2 linked regions of the Arabidopsis thaliana genome follow. The protein of the gene in region 1 binds, or shares a complex with, the protein of each later gene. Each region holds a gene or a part of one and is shown in the gene's direction. Other genes may lie near its edges.

The links.
Region 2: the proteins of JAR1 (region 1) and GSTU20 are in contact, whole or in part, in a crystal structure (PDB 5ECH), measured with the Arabidopsis thaliana proteins. Residues at the interface, in NP_566071.1 of Arabidopsis thaliana: Leu37, Lys38, Asn39, Gln40, Ser41, Ala42, Ile43, Leu45, Gln46, Leu50, Asn51, Gly52, Asn53, Arg79, Asp84, Thr85, Ser86, Pro87, Ile88, Thr90, Gly91, His92, Pro93, Val94, Pro95, Thr114, Asp115, Glu116, Tyr395; in NP_177958.1 of Arabidopsis thaliana: Pro86 (codon at 2,363), Ser87 (codon at 2,366), Asp88 (codon at 2,369), Tyr90 (codon at 2,375), Ser137 (codon at 2,639), Glu138 (codon at 2,642), Leu139 (codon at 2,645), Gly140 (codon at 2,648), Asp141 (codon at 2,651), Lys142 (codon at 2,654), Pro143 (codon at 2,657), Tyr144 (codon at 2,660), Phe145 (codon at 2,663), Gly146 (codon at 2,666), Gly147 (codon at 2,669), Asp148 (codon at 2,672), Ser149 (codon at 2,675), Pro180 (codon at 2,768), Lys181 (codon at 2,771), Ala184 (codon at 2,780), Trp185 (codon at 2,783), Lys187 (codon at 2,789), Arg188 (codon at 2,792), Glu191 (codon at 2,801).

What each region holds. Positions count from the first base shown.
Region 1 is NC_003071.7:19,031,846-19,037,187, forward strand, and holds JAR1 (Auxin-responsive GH3 family protein), read left to right. Parts: upstream 1-1,895; 5' UTR 1,896-2,387; coding exon 2,388-2,419; intron 2,420-2,495; coding exon 2,496-2,795; intron 2,796-2,862; coding exon 2,863-2,964; intron 2,965-3,110; coding exon 3,111-3,898; intron 3,899-3,985; coding exon 3,986-4,524; 3' UTR 4,525-4,600; downstream 4,601-5,342. UniProt on the Arabidopsis thaliana protein: Catalyzes the synthesis of jasmonates-amino acid conjugates by adenylation; can use Ile and, in vitro at least, Val, Leu and Phe as conjugating amino acids on jasmonic acid (JA) and 9,10-dihydro-JA substrates, and to a lower extent, on 3-oxo-2-(2Z-pentenyl)-cyclopentane-1-butyric acid (OPC-4) and 12-hydroxy-JA (12-OH-JA).
Region 2 is NC_003070.9:29,483,509-29,487,311, reverse strand, and holds GSTU20 (glutathione S-transferase TAU 20), read left to right. Parts: upstream 1-1,922; 5' UTR 1,923-2,107; coding exon 2,108-2,422; intron 2,423-2,545; coding exon 2,546-2,884; 3' UTR 2,885-3,192; downstream 3,193-3,803. Other genes in the region: GSTU19 (glutathione S-transferase TAU 19), read left to right, coding at 309-653. UniProt on the Arabidopsis thaliana protein: Exhibits glutathione-dependent thiol transferase activities. Can use glutathione (GSH) and 1-chloro-2,4-dinitrobenzene (CDNB) as substrates. Involved in the regulation of far-red light influence on development.

The sequences.
Region 1 (5,342 bases):
AAACGTAAAGGATGTGACCGACAAATTATTTAGAGCCGAGACGTAATTGAATTGGACGGCACTGCCACGTGTAAGCACGAAACTCACTTGGGTCACAGTACATGCGGATCCAGAGGATCTTTTATACTAATCCAATTAGACTCATCCACGTGTCAAATTAGTTAAATTTAAGTTTTTTTTAGTCCGAAATTAAAGTTAGAATATTAAATTAATTTCCACACACAATCGTTTTTCTTAGTTATTTTACAACTAGCTAGTATAAACGATAACCAAAATGGATGACATCAAAATAATTAATTAGGCCAAAAATAATAATATCAGCAGTCAATAATAAAATTGTGTATGCATGTGTCATGGTACCATTGTTTCTTAAGCTCAAAACATTTATGATGAGCATGGAGGAATATGTGATTTATGTTGACTTGTCATGCATGTATACAATTTATAGCTTCTTCAGTCAACAAAAAAAATTGAAAATGTTAACTTCTCTAAAAGGAGCTTTTCCACAGATTTCAATCAGTTCATGATTTTCTCGATATAAAGTAGGCATGAAATTGACGAATGAAAATGTATGAATTGAAGAAACTATATAATGAAAAACAAGAATCATCAATAAAAATCAAATGTTTCTTACATAGTTTTTTTTTCTTCTTCAAGGAAATCAACTATGTTTTGTTTTTTTATACAATCAGATCATTAGATTAATCGTATGTTTTTGTAACTTAACTTATGTTGATCAGCTTCATTAAAATGAGAGTTTATTCTTGTAAACAAAAAAGTTAGTTGTGATGACTAATATGCGTTTCCGAAACGAAACCCTAAACCCTGCAATAGAAAAGGGATTGTTGAACTTAATTTGTTTTGTGCACGAGAAGATGGATGAAACAGAATTGTTAACCAAAAATCTTATGAACCTAATTCCAAAAATCTTATGAACCTCACAGACTTTGAGAATCGTTTAAATGACTAATGTAAAGATGTGCAAGCAACTGATATGAAGAATTGTTAACCATATATTGTGATATCTCATATTTGTATATATATTTGATATATACAAATATGTTTGTTCCAAATTTTGTTACAAACTACACAGCCAAATATAAGAAGCTATCAAATATTATTTCTTTAGCAAGTTTGAATTAATCAAACGCAGGTCATTATAAATTAAATCATAACAGGTGGTATAAAAACAACGTATTTTGTTAAATTTAAGTGATTGTAGTCTTAGAATTATATATAGGTCTTTTGTTAGAGATGAATAGTTGATTTCTGATGTATTTCCTAGTATTACATCATTAACGCAATGACCATATATAATGATATAGACAACGATGACAGAGAGGTGACTAAGTTAACATGTTATGATCCTCGTCTGAATAAACTAGAAGACTAGCCGCATGAAAATTCTTAGTTAACAAAAAATGATGTTGTCTATATGTATATCTACTACTAATATCATGAACCCAAATTACTCAAGAATTAAAGAAATAATATTCCTAACACAAGTTGGCTTTTCGTAAACTAAACTTACGGTATTGTTTTATGCATCGATCATAATGAATATTTTAAAACACTAAAACATGGTTAAAAAAAAAAGTAATCCACATGCGATTGTTTTGGATTGGTCCTTTTAAATAAACTAAAGTTTTGGCAGAGAGGAACCAAGTAAAAATGGGCATTATCTAAGAATGGTCCTAATTCCAAGAAGATATTACACTCTTTTACAGATTGGACCCAAACACTCATGTGAAGATGAAAAAATAAACTAAGAATACAAAAAGAAGAAAATAAAAGAAAAAATCAGAGATCCCGTCGGAGAAAGAAAAAGAGAAGATAGAGAGATACAAGTAACGGCTTCCACTAATCTTTCGCCTTCTACATTTTTGCTGCTCCGTCCAATTTTTGTGTCTATAAAATAAGACAGCTTCTTTCTCTTGACTTTCCAAATTCACTCAACTTTCTCTCACTCCTTTTTTCTCTCTCTCTCTCTATCCTCTACAGAGCTCGCAGCAACTAGCGCAGGTACTCTCTCTTTCTCACTCCTTAATCTAGATACTAAAGCTGATCATTTTCATATCTCTCAGTAATCCGTTTCGTCTGATCGGGTAAAACACACTTCCAATTACTCCGGTTCCGACCTCGTTGACTTTTTCTTCAGATAGATTCCAAAAAAGTTCTCATCTTTACTTGTTCAATCTCATAGATTCCGATTTGGGTCTGATTGTTACCTCTCCACAACTATTGGGTTCCTCTCAAAACCCTTCGATTTCTTGATCCATCCTTCCTTAATTTTCGATTCTCGAAAACCGTTTTCACAACTTTTTTTTATAAAAAAAAAAATCTGCAAAAAGATCTCTCTGATAAGAATTTTTAAAAACTTTCCCTTTATGGATGCTCTGAAACATAAAAGAGCTTTTAAGTTTATACCTTCCCTTATATTCTCTGTTTTCAAATCTGTCAGAATCTGATCACTCTTTTCTTTTTATCTACTTCAGGATGTTGGAGAAGGTTGAAACTTTCGACATGAACAGAGTCATTGATGAATTCGATGAAATGACTAGAAACGCTCATCAAGTCCAGAAACAAACTTTGAAAGAGATTCTTCTCAAGAACCAATCCGCCATTTACTTACAAAACTGTGGTCTCAATGGAAACGCTACTGACCCTGAAGAAGCTTTCAAATCTATGGTTCCTTTAGTCACTGATGTTGAATTAGAGCCTTACATCAAAAGAATGGTTGATGGTGACACTTCACCTATTCTCACTGGTCACCCTGTTCCTGCCATTTCCTTAAGGTAACTTCCTCTTTTTGCTTTATCATTGATGATTCTGTTTCTCAGTGTGTGTGTTTTTGATCATCAGCTCTGGAACTAGTCAAGGCCGTCCAAAGTTTATTCCTTTCACTGATGAATTAATGGAGAACACATTGCAACTGTTTCGCACTGCTTTTGCCTTCAGAAACAGGTATAGTTTAAATTTGTGTTTATGTTTCCCCCACACACATTTCACACTTTTCTCTGTTCCATCCATTGACATGAACAGAGAAACTAGTGATGTTGTTACTTACCACCGACTATGCCTTAACATGTGATGTTTTTCTTCTTGTACAGAGATTTTCCCATTGATGACAATGGCAAAGCTTTGCAATTTATCTTCAGCAGCAAGCAGTACATATCAACGGGAGGTGTCCCGGTTGGAACCGCAACCACAAACGTGTACCGCAACCCTAACTTCAAAGCTGGGATGAAATCTATAACGTCTCCTTCCTGTAGTCCCGACGAAGTTATCTTTAGTCCTGATGTCCATCAAGCCTTGTATTGCCATCTCTTATCCGGAATTCTCTTCAGAGATCAAGTTCAATACGTCTTTGCCGTCTTTGCTCACGGTCTAGTTCACGCTTTTAGAACCTTTGAACAGGTTTGGGAAGAGATTGTTACCGATATCAAAGATGGTGTCTTAAGCAACCGTATTACTGTCCCATCGGTCCGTACTGCAATGTCGAAGCTGCTCACACCTAACCCTGAGCTAGCTGAGACGATCCGCACCAAATGTATGAGTTTGAGCAACTGGTACGGATTGATTCCCGCGCTCTTCCCCAACGCAAAGTATGTTTACGGGATCATGACTGGCTCCATGGAGCCGTATGTGCCAAAGCTGAGACATTACGCGGGTGATCTACCTCTTGTGAGCCATGACTACGGTAGCTCGGAAGGATGGATTGCTGCTAATGTTACCCCAAGGTTATCTCCAGAGGAAGCTACATTTGCTGTGATTCCGAATCTCGGTTATTTCGAGTTTCTCCCTGTATCTGAAACAGGGGAAGGAGAGGAGAAACCGGTTGGTTTAACTCAAGTCAAGATTGGAGAAGAGTATGAAGTTGTCATCACAAATTACGCAGGTATTACCGTTGTTTTAAGGCTGGAATTAGCGTAGTATCGGTCTCGTAATGGATGCTTATAATTCTCATTTGATCCACATTGCACAGGGTTGTATCGATACCGGCTTGGAGATGTGGTAAAGGTCATTGGTTTCTACAACAACACTCCCCAACTAAAATTCATATGCAGGAGAAACCTGATTCTCTCGATCAACATCGACAAGAACACCGAAAGAGACCTTCAGCTTTCAGTAGAATCGGCTGCAAAGAGACTCTCAGAAGAAAAGATCGAGGTCATAGACTTCTCTAGCTACATCGATGTCTCGACAGATCCAGGACATTACGCTATCTTCTGGGAGATTTCAGGAGAAACAAACGAAGACGTTCTTCAAGATTGCTGCAACTGTTTAGACCGAGCATTCATCGATGCGGGTTACGTTAGTTCCCGGAAATGCAAGACTATTGGAGCCTTGGAGCTGAGAGTTGTCGCAAAAGGAACTTTCCGGAAGATTCAAGAACATTTTCTCGGGCTTGGTTCATCGGCTGGACAGTTTAAGATGCCAAGATGTGTGAAGCCAAGTAATGCTAAGGTTCTCCAAATTCTGTGTGAGAATGTGGTGAGTAGCTACTTCAGCACAGCGTTTTGACTCACTAAAATTGTGTGAAATCAAAGAAAGTGGTTTTTAGTTGTTTATTTCCGTCGTTGTTGTCTTTATTTGTCAATATAGTTTTCTTTACGTTATTTAATTGAGCATAAACTTTTTTTATCTTTATAGAATTTGTATCACAGTGGTTTTACTTTGCTTTTTGTGCAATTAGTGTTTGGGAAATAAATAGATTTCTGATGTGACGTTACCTTTATTATACTTGGAACAAAAAAATCAAGATTCGAATAATTGATTGTCTGTATGGAGAATAAAATTCGGATAATCTAATCTATCTCGATCTGACCTGAACCATATTGTGAAAATATTGTTTTATATTACGATATTCGAAACAATAATGTACGTGTTCGACAATTGAATTTTGGTGCTTCTCTCAAAAACAAGAAGAGATCATAAACAATTAAAAATTTAGAGATCATAAACTCTCTAAATACTTTGCCAAAACAAAAAAAAAACTCTCTAAATATAGATAGTGGTGTGATTTTGTGTGAGAAGCTATACGTGACTACGACATTATTAGTGCGACCGATGTTTATTTAGAGAGTTCTAATTACGAAAAAGTAATCATAGATCTACATATAGTCCACTAATTGAAGTCATTATCTTATAGTAGAATTTGATAGGATCCATTTGAATTTCCGAGTAAGTCCACTAATTGTGTATACTTCACGTTATAAAAAAAAAAAAAAAGGAAATCACTCAAACAAGGTTAAAAGGAAAGTTAATTCCGTTTACGTATGTGGGCTGCAAAAAAAATGGAACCTAATCATAACGGTAAGAGAATACTACCGTTTGTATAT
Region 2 (3,803 bases), on another chromosome or scaffold:
AGATCTCACCTCCAAATTTCAGATTTTTCTTGTGGACTCATCTCTGAGCTAGTCAGGGTTTGTCTTCTTAGATAGTTTAATGTTATGTTACTTGTGCAATTTGAGGTTTTTACATACTAGTTTCGCTAGTAGATATCATCTTTGAGCTTTGTTTGGGTTCATCTTAGATAGTTTGATGATATGTTTCTTTTGCAATTTGGGGGTCTCTAGGACTGGTTTTGCTTTGTAGACATCATCTTTGAGCTTTGTTTGGGTTCGACTGAGTTCTGACATAGCTTGGTGTTATGTTACTCTGTGCAATGTTTCAGCTGTATGATGCTCAGAGGAAGGTGTGGGCGACAAAGGGTGAGGAACAAGAGGCAGGGAAGAAGGATTTCATTGAGATACTCAAGACTCTTGAATCTGAGCTTGGAGACAAACCTTACTTTAGTGGCGATGACTTTGGCTATGTAGACATTGCGTTGATTGGATTCTACACATGGTTTCCAGCATACGAGAAGTTTGCTAACTTCAGTATCGAATCTGAGGTTCCGAAACTGATTGCTTGGGTTAAGAAGTGTTTGCAGAGGGAGAGCGTGGCTAAGTCCTTGCCTGATCCTGAGAAGGTTACTGAATTCGTCTCTGAGCTCAGGAAGAAATTTGTACCTGAGTAAATATGTTTCTCTTGTCATATGGTTCGGACTTAAGATGCTCTCTGTTTTACTTTCGTGTGTTGTCTTTCTTAAATAATGCAGAGCATCTGTGAGGTGGTTTGAGTGTAGAGAATGTATGTCTTTGCTGTAGCAGATTCCTGTGTTTTCTGGATTTAATGGCTTGTCCTAGTTTTTATGCATTGTAACTATGAGTTTAATTAATGATCGTTAATCTATAATGATTATTAATTTGTTACTTTGATATGTAATTACGCCAATACGACTCTTCTACCTGACCAAGCTTATCACGCCAATGTTGCTGTAAAAGACAATAGTGCAGTTTGGCGATTAAAACCTCCAACATCGAGAATGGTAAGCCGGTCTGGATCTAATAAGCCCAAATTGGCATCCATAAGCCCAAATTGAAATTGGCATCCATAACTCCATATTGTAGTCAATTGGAAGTTATGTGGTTGATGTGATCATTAGTGTCGGTATGATCAGATTAGCCACGGGTTTAGTGTTTCTTGCCGAATTTGAATTCGGTAGATCAAATAACATTACTATGATCCGCACAGTTCATGGGATTTGAATTTGATTTACGATTACAACAACGATATTAACACAGAACTATCCTGTAATTTTTGGGATCGATTAGTAAATTTTAAAATATTATTTCAAAGGCTTTATATATATAAAGAATTTAGAGTATAAACATAGATAAAGCATTATGTATTTATAAATCTTATGCTGATATTGAAAAAATAATGGTGTATGTGATATATTTAATAGAGTGCAATACTCTCTCAATAAATTAGTATAGCTGTTATCACTCCTTGTGTAAATGCGTATTTCTTGTACATGCATGGTAAGTAGCTTGTCCTCGTATGTACCGGATTGTAATGTTTGATATCAAATCAAGGGAATCACGTGGTAAATGTACACCCACCTAACTGAGAGATAATAATACAAACAACTGTGAGTAGGTGGCCACGCCAAAAGTAGAGACTGATGCAGCAACTAAGCAAAGTATTACTTCACTCGATCAACTTTTTATTTTGTTACCTTCTTATAAATCAAGTCGATTTCTATATTGTCAAGTACTAATTCCATTCTAATCTCTTACATATACGTTTAAGGTTTGAATCAGAGCAAAAGATAATCACACTCTTTTATATTAAGTGATGTTTTCACTAGTTGCACACATATGACAATTATTTAACAAAGTTGCAAAATACATTTTAAATCGTTACGGGTAAAAGCTTACTGTTTAAAAGATTTATATATGGACCATAATATGCTTTGAAAAAAGCTGATGTGACGTAACGGGAATCAAAATCCTTTCCACATCATTTTCTTCCCCTATAAAACAACCGTCACTCACTCCTTCTCTACTATAACACACACTCGCTTGTTCACGCACAACAAAAAGCAAGAATATATACCACTTTGTGAACTTCAGAGATCCTATAGCAATGGCGAACCTACCGATTCTTTTGGATTACTGGCCAAGTATGTTCGGGATGAGGGCTAGAGTTGCGTTGCGAGAGAAAGGTGTTGAGTTTGAATACAGAGAGGAAGATTTCTCGAACAAGAGCCCTTTACTCCTCCAGAGTAATCCCATTCACAAGAAAATCCCGGTTCTGGTCCACAACGGTAAACCGGTATGTGAATCTCTTAACGTTGTCCAGTACGTCGACGAGGCTTGGCCCGAGAAGAACCCGTTCTTCCCTTCCGATCCTTACGGGAGAGCTCAGGCTCGATTCTGGGCTGATTTCGTGGACAAGAAGGTAACTAATCCCTTTTGTGCCCTAGATTTCTTAACTTGAGTCTGAAACAATGTGATTTAGGGTTATCTGAAAAAATGAGTTTGGTTCCTTCTGACATAATTCGATGTTCTGTAATGGATTCAGTTCACCGACGCCCAATTCAAGGTATGGGGGAAGAAAGGTGAGGAACAAGAAGCAGGCAAGAAGGAATTTATTGAGGCAGTGAAGATTCTTGAATCTGAGCTAGGAGATAAACCTTACTTTGGTGGAGATAGCTTTGGGTATGTAGACATTTCCTTGATTACATTCTCGAGTTGGTTCCAAGCCTATGAGAAGTTTGGTAACTTTAGCATCGAGTCAGAGAGTCCGAAACTGATCGCTTGGGCAAAGCGGTGCATGGAGAAAGAGAGTGTGTCTAAGTCTCTCCCTGACTCTGAGAAGATTGTTGCATATGCTGCTGAGTATAGGAAGAACAATCTCTGATTTGAATAATCTTGTTGTTCTCTTGTTGCTAAGCTGTGTTCTGTTTTTGTCTTTGTTTTTTTTTTTCCCCTAATAATGCGAGAGAGCCTTAGTGAATGTGTGTTGTGGTTTTTATGCATCCTAAGTATGGAATTTAAATAAAATTTGTTTCGACTTAAAGAGTCCAAGTATGAAGTCACATCCTTTTCAAAAGAACAAACACAAGAAAAAGTTGGAATTCTTTTTTCTTTTTCTACTTGTCTAGTACCGCGTATACGAAAATAGTATAACACCCAGCAATTAATAAAGTAGATGGCCACGTTACAATCATGCAAGTAGTGGCTCTGCAAACATAAGATAAAAAGAAATTGGGTTCTCAGCCACTTTTGGGAGGACATGCAGACTAAAGCACTCTCTAAACTCCGCTTAGAGGGAAAACAAAAAGACACCTCTGATCTATTATCACTATTATTAGGGTTTTTTTGTTTGTTTTTCTTTTCTTTGCTTCTTAAGAGATAATACATTGATCACTAACATAAAAGCTGGTCAGTTCCCTTACTTTGAGGCTTTGAGTGGAGACTCCACTACGGTGTGGCTCACACCAACAGTTTTTCTCTGATTATCCTTTTGTCATCAACTCACCATTCACCGAATAATATAATTTATACGTGTGATCTTTGTTTCGAAGATCAATACAATTCTATTGTAAAACATATGGTTTCGGTCATTCGATTGCTAGAAAAGAACTAGTCAAAGCTTCATATCGTTATTGCATTACTGTCATCACCATTCATAAGTTGTAAGAAGAATAGCAAAGAGGAAAATTTGTATTTTTCATCACCAAAAGAAAGATTTGCATACCTTTGATTTACACTCTGCAATTGTTTAAAAGGGGACTACTGATGATATTTTTAACAAGCTGAATTTAGTACAATATAGT